2 linked regions of the Macaca fascicularis genome follow. The protein of the gene in region 1 interacts with the protein of each later gene in a biochemical or structural test. Links are inferred from orthologs where the notes say so. Each region holds a gene or a part of one and is shown on either strand. Other genes may lie near its edges.

The links. The genes of interacting proteins can lie anywhere in the genome.
Region 2: the proteins of SCN8A (region 1) and FGF14 form a complex in vitro, tested with the Homo sapiens proteins (2 studies listed by BioGRID). The link is inferred for Macaca fascicularis from reciprocal best matches to the Homo sapiens genes SCN8A and FGF14.

What each region holds. Positions count from the first base shown.
Region 1 is NC_088385.1:58,542,580-58,546,233, reverse strand, and holds part of SCN8A (sodium channel protein type 8 subunit alpha), read right to left. Parts: intron 3,005-3,654; coding exon 2,863-3,004; intron 5-2,862; coding exon 1-4. UniProt on the Homo sapiens protein: Pore-forming subunit of a voltage-gated sodium channel complex assuming opened or closed conformations in response to the voltage difference across membranes and through which sodium ions selectively pass along their electrochemical gradient.
Region 2 is NC_088391.1:92,713,575-92,717,228, forward strand, and holds part of FGF14 (fibroblast growth factor 14), read right to left. Parts: intron 1,322-3,654; coding exon 1,211-1,321; intron 1-1,210. UniProt on the Homo sapiens protein: Probably involved in nervous system development and function.

The DNA of each region.
Region 1 (3,654 bases):
AGGTCTGCAAAGACAAAGGCCATTTTCTGAGTCACTTGTACCAAATGAACCAGGCTGAAAACAGCTAATGGGCCGAGTTCCTCTGTAAGGGCACTATTTGCATTTTGAACAGGACTGTGTTTCCTTGTGCAGTACTCCTTCCTATTGTGGGCACTCAGTATTCTCAATGGTTGAATGGTTTCACTTATCCTCAACTCACATTAAATGGCAGTAGTTATCTCCCAACCATTGTGAGAAAAAAATCCTCTCTCATTTTTCTAAATATTCCCTATATACCCCTTTCATAAAAAAAAAAGTTTGATTTTGGGCTAAGACAAGTATAAAGAAAAGAATACAAGACTGCAGCTTATTTATCTACTGGTCCTCAAATAGCATTAACAGACACATTGTGTCTCTGAAATCAGGTCCAAGTTGCAAGAAATCCCATCTTTTTTTTTTTTTTTTGAGATGGAGTGTCACACTATCACCTGGGCTGGAGTGAAATGGTGCAATCTCGGCTCACTACAACCTCTGCCTCCCGGGTTCAAGCGATTCTCCTGCCTCAGCCTCCCGAGTAGCTGGGATTACAGGTGCCCACCACCATGCCCAGCTAATTTTTTGTATTTTTAGTAGAGATGGGGTTTCACTATGTTGGCCAGGCTGGTCTTGAACTCCTGACCTCATGATCCACCTGCCTCGGCCTCCCAAAGTGCTGGGATTACAGGTGTGAGCTACCGCACCCAGCCCCATCTTTTTTTTTTTTTTTTTTTTTTTAGACGGAGTCTTGCTCTGTCACCCAGGCTGGAGTGCAGTGGCATGATCTCGGCTCACTGCAACCTCCACCTCCCAGGTTCAAGCAATTCTCCCATCTCAGCCTCCCGAGTAACTGGGATTACAGGCATGCGCCACCATACCTGGCTAATTTTTGTGTTTTTAGTAGAGGTGCGGTTTCACCATGTTTGCCAGGTTGGTCTCGAACTCCTGGCCTCAAGTGATCCACCCGCCTTGGCCTCCCAAAGTGCTGGGATTATAGGCATGAGCCACTGCATCTGGCCAGGAAATCCCCATCTTGAGTGACGCCCTTCCTTATTCTTTTGCAATAGGATGAGTTTTAAAAGGATATGACAATATGACATAAAGGATAGTAGGGAAGAAAAAAAAGGCAGAAGGAAACTAGGTTTTAGATTATGTACATGCAACCCACTATTACAGAGTTTTCATCTTTATTCTGTTAACTGCAAAATGGGCCGGGTGCGGTGGCTTGCACCTGTAATCCCAGCATTTTGGGAGGCCAAGACAGGCAGATCACCTGAGGTCAAGAGTTCGAGACCAGCCTGGCCAACCAACATGGTGAAACCCTGTATCTATTAAAAATACAAAAATTAGCGGCCGGGCGCGGTGGCTCACGCCTGTAATCCCAGCACTTTGGGAGGCCGAGGGGGGCGGATCACAAGGTCAGGAGATCGAGACCACGGTGAAACCCCGTCTCTACTAAAAATACAAAAAATTAGCCGGGCGCGGTGGCGGGCGCCTGTAGTCCCAGCTACTCAGGAGGCTGAGGCAGGAGAATGGTGTAAACCCAGGAGGCGGAGCTTGCAGTGAGCCGAGATCGCGCCACTGCACTCCAGCCTGGGCGACAGAGCGAGACTCCGTCTCAAAAAACAAAAACAAAAACAAAACAAAACAAAACAAACAAACAAAAAAATTAGCTGGGCGTGGTGGCTCATGCCTGTAATCCCAGCTACTCGAGAGGCTGAGTCAGGAGAATTGTTTGAAGCCACGAGGCGGAGGTTGCAGTGAGCTGAGATTGCGCCACTGCACTCCAGCCTGGGCGACACAGCAAAACTCTGTATCAAAAAAAAAAAAAAAGAAACAGCATGAATCACAAATATTTCATGAGAAACATTCAACCTGGGGGAACTCTAGGCTGTCCAACAGAAAGGTAAGAATTAACTCAGAGATTTGAAATAGAAACTTCCCTTAAAAGAGGTTTCTTCATGCCTGAGGGGACAAGTTTTTCATTTTCAAAGTAACTGGTATCACCAAATGACAAACAGAAAACAATGGACTGTCATAAAATTTCTAAGCTGTAAGACCCTTAGCAATCACTTACACTAACTTCATTACAACCAGCAAAGTTAAATGACTTGTCCAGAGTCACCAGTGTAGCCCAACAGAACGTTACTGACCCTATTTTTATCTGTACAACCTGCTTGAACAAGTCCAAATGTGTTACAAATCTCAAAAATGTTGATATATTTATACTCCAAGGTCCTTATGGAAATTCCATCTATATAGTGCCTTGCACAAAGAGGTGTTTAATATTTCTTAAACAGAAGCCCTAACGGTGGCTCACGCCTGTAATCCCAGCACTTTGGGAGGCCACAGTGGGAGGATCACTTGAGGCCAGAAGTTGCAAGACCAGCCTGGGAAACAGAGTGAAACCCCAACTTTCCAAAAAGTAGAAATATTAGCCAGGTGTGGTGGTACATGCCTGTAGTACCTACCTCAAAAACAAAAGAAAAGAAAACAAGCAAAAAAAAAAAAACAAACCCTGAGCCCAAATTTCCAAAAGGAGATATGCTGCAGAGGATAAACAGTAGGAAGTAGATAGAGATAGCAGATTCTCAGGTCAGACAAGAGGCCGTCAAGGTTGTAAGAATCTACAGCTATACATGACTGAGCATTCAAGAAACAGGGATGAGAACTGAGAGAATTCACTTAACATCAAAAACCAGCTGACTGTGGGAAACACAACAGTTAGATCTTGTATAATGTCTTTACTAAATGTCTCTCACACAGAATGTCTCCCACACAGAATGTCCCTAACCCTGTATATGCTCATGCAAACTCTATGGCCAAAGGAAAAGAGGTATTACTCACCAACTGATACAAGTTTTCCCAATAGTCCTGGGTCATAAGGCGAAATAATGCCAAGAAGGCCCAGCTAAAAGTGTCAAAGCTTGTGTAACCATAGTTGGGGTTCCTTCCTGCTTTCATACACTGGTATCCCTCTGGGCATTGCCTAAAGAAAGAAAGGGAAGTTCAGGACTTTTAACATAATTCCACCAGCCGTGACCTTGGAGATAACAAATAACATAATTCTATTTAATCCACGACCTTGGAGATAATAAATAACCATTGATAGAGCCAGGACAACAAATTGGAAGAAAAAGAAGGAAATAAGCAGCTAGCCAACTTCTGGGGACAGCCTAGGATCAGAATCACCTGGCATGTTCTTTAAAAATGCAGATTCCTGTGTCCTTACCCAAATCTAGGAATTAAAAGTTCTGGATATGGGATCTATGAATCTGCATTTTTAAGAGGTATGCCAGGTGATTCTTATGCGTGCCAAAGCGTGAGAAGTACTGTTCTAGATTCATATTAATGTGCAATTCAATCAAATTTAACTTCACTACTATCCCAAATGACAAACGGCTAGAAGTTCCTTTTTTTTTTTTTAGACAGAGTCTAGCTCTGTCGTCCAGGCTAGAGTGTCATGGCATGACCTCGGGTCACCGCAACCTCTGCCTCCTGGGTTCAAGCAATTCTCCTGCCTCAGCCTCCCAAGTAGCTGGGATTACAGGCGCCTGCCACCACGTCTGGCTAATTTTTGTATTTTTAGTAGAGAAAGGGTTTCACTGTGTTGGCCTGGCAGGTCTCAAACTCCTGACC
Region 2 (3,654 bases), on another chromosome or scaffold:
GTAGATAAACACAAAAATTAAAAAGGAATTGAAGAAAAAATAAAAAGTGAAGCAATGCACAACATATAAAAAGTGAACACAATGGCTGGAAAAATAGTGATATTTTACATGGCAAAACCACACGTAAAAATAACCTATTCTGTATAACTAACTACTGTCAGAATCAGTGTTACTGGCAATTTGATCACTAGAATTTAAAAAAGGAAGTGCTGAATTTTAAATTGAGCTGATAAAAATATATAAAATAAAATAAAAATAAAAAAGGAAGTGCCTTCTGATTTGATTATGTGTATTATTCAAATCCTCACTTCTTTTCATGGAATGATGTTTATATGTGAAGAATAAGAGATACATTAATTAAAAAATTCATATCTACTTTTGATCCACCAGTAATGTTTCTTATGATTAAATATTTCTAATAAAAACAGTTTTGCTTTTCACTAACTCCCCCAAACAGTAAAAAGTATGCTTATTTTGGAACTAATATGCTAAATTAAAAATGAATCGAATGCCAATATAAACAGAAAATGGGAGAGCAAAACACAGACAGTTGAGCAAGGAGAGGCACCAGACGGAGAAACGTTATACATAAAGAAATAGGAAAAAGAACACAGACATTAATACAATGGAAGATGTGTAGCTTTTTAATTAAAAATTATCACAGATGCAATTCTATAAAGTAGTTAAACACTTTGCACAATGAATTTCAAAGTACACAACCTTCATGTTTTTTCTATACTTTTTTTTGTTAAATGCAAATAATTTTAAATTATATTTCTACTATGTAAAACGAAACAAAACAAAACAAAACAAAACTATTCCTTGTAGATTTTGAGTTTCCACAGGCATCATTAAGAACCTCAGAGCCTGATAAAATAATACATCCAATGAAAACATGTAATTAATTTTTACCTAAATACACTAGTGTACTTACTTAACTTTTATAATAATAAGATTAAAAGTAATAATACTTTTCTGGGTATGACAACTGTTTAACATAATCATCTTTAAACCACAGTTTTCTTTGGTTGCTCCATTAATATTTTCATCCACATAGTGTAAATAAAATTGTAAATGGCATTCTAGCGTGTAACATTTATAAAGATGAACCAACATGACCAAAAATTTGCAAATGAATCTTAAAAAGTCACTTAAGTAGCAGTGTATCTTCTACCAACTGTGTAACTGGTGGCCTGAGGTTGTCACTTACTAGAATTAGTGCTGTCATCCTTGGTTCCATCGAGAGCTCCATCGGGGTGCATTTGCAAGTAGTAGCCTTGCCTGCAATATAACCTGGTCACTATACCCTTGAGCTGGGGATCTGAAAGGCAAACATAGTTATCATAAGCCTCACAGTGTGTCACCAAGTTTCCTTTTACTTTTCTGTTTCTCTTTCTTTTTTCAGAAGAGGACATTTTATACAAGTAGCACATTTTATTTTGTCTCTCAGATTCTTCTGTGCTTTATCAAACCTGCAGTATTCTATTTATAGAAGGTAAAGGAAATGCAGTAGTAAGCCACAGAAACAGGCATTTTATAAAACTAGTATATGCATATTTAAATTATTAATGAAAACTATTAAACTAATTAAGCTGTCAGTTGAATTATTAGTTTAAACGATAAACTAATTAATATAACCAATATTAGCACTCATGATGGCAGTTATAAGAGTTTTGCAAACTGGTGACTCTCAGAAATTTTATTAAAAGGTTTTTTAATGGAGTTCTCCTTTTACTTAAGTTGACAAGTATTCCCGAAATTAAAAACAAACAAAACAAAAAATACCTATATTTTAAAAACATTCATACTAACATTTGATACATATTCTTAGGAAAAGCCCCAATTCAGAGAACACCCCTGGATGTTCAAAGGGTCATTGTTATTTCCACGGAAGTATCTGTGCTACTTAGACATTATCCACAGGAAAATGGAAAACTCTACTTGTGAGCTAGGGGAAACACAACAAACCCATGCATATGAGGTCAGCTCTGAGGCAATCGAATAGAGAAATTAGACAAGTTAAACAGATAAACTCATTAACTTGTGTAACTAAAAAGGACAGTCAAATTATACAATATGAAATCTGATTCTTTGTCAACGGGCATTGAGATAGAGGGCAGTGGAAGTTTATTTAAACAAAAAGGGAAATCATGTGGTAATAGATCCTCGTTTGATGATTCATTGAAAAGACATCCACTCTAGTAATCCAGTGCTTCACAAAGAGTCAGTTGTACCTTTGAAAACAAATATTTGCATGTGGTTTTGCAAAAGCCATCCCCATCTCAGGGACAGATTGGATGTGGGACATCATAATCTTCACCATGGCAACTGGCATCTCTCCGCAACAGCTGAATAGGCCATGCTAATGCAACCCGGCTGTCAAAACAGTCGGACGTTACTGAGTAATGAAACCTAGCACCTTGTAATCGATAGAAAAATTGTGGTCTTGCAAATAGGTGAAGACAAAAAAAAATTTTTTGAGAGCTATCCTTAAACTCTTTATTAGTCCTGAAGAAATTACAAAGAATTTCAATATCTATTTCTATGCACATCATTTAAAACTGATCATCTGAGACATGACTCCATTGTACATAGACTTGCTTCATAGATGGTATAAGACTGGAAAAATCCTTTTGGAAAAGAATGCATGAACAGCAGAGCATCACAACATCAGTATGACTAGCCACATTAGAATATGAAAGCTTTTGAAAGAGTAGGATTTAAAAAATAAATTTCTATGTGATTATTGGATTGTGTTACATATATTCCTTATTCTGTAGCATATAACTTCCCAAATCACATAATTCTAAGATATGCACTAGCGGAAAAAAATACTAGTGTGCGACTGGGCTAAGTACTAAAGACTTCTTTCTTAGTTTTGCTGTATTTTATTTATGCTCTTCCCTGAAAATACGTAGCATGGAAAAGAAGAGAACAAAAGCAAAAAGAGTAAAAACTGTGAAAAAGAGAATTTTTTATTATTCTCTTGTCAAGAAAAAATACTGAGAATATTAGTGATTGACGATTTTTCTGTAAAACCTTTATGTTCTGACATCACTTATTCCTAAGCAATCTTCTATTTGAGCTACTATGTCTTCTGAAGTTGAATTAACTAGATCAGGTGAGGCAGTGAGAAGCCACCTACCCACCCACTCACACGCACTCTCATGCTTACACAAACAGACCCCTTTGGGATTATGCCTCATTTTGGATGAGGGAGCACAAATAAAATGTAAAATTATGTTTTTCTCCTTTAACTTCAAGAAAATACAACCAAATTGATTTTGATTCATCTGGTTGCATACGGTTCGATGTTTTTCCTTTTTAGAAATCATAACGCCATTGATTTTATTCTTCTCAGGTGCCAGGCATTGTTAGAAGCACATTCTATTTTTAACTCTTGGATCCTCACCATTACCTTACTTAATAGAAGCCCACTTAGAGGATGAAGAAATGGAGATACAGAGCAATTGATAGTAACAATATGACAAAAGGCACATAACCAGTAAGTCAATAGCTGGAATCTGATCACTCGGCTCTGGACCCTGCCCACTTAACTGCTACCTGATGCAGCCTCTACAAGTGGAATAATTGAACTAAAATGTCTTCAACACTAAAAATAAAATGCAAATCAATCTGTTTAAAAAACCAAAA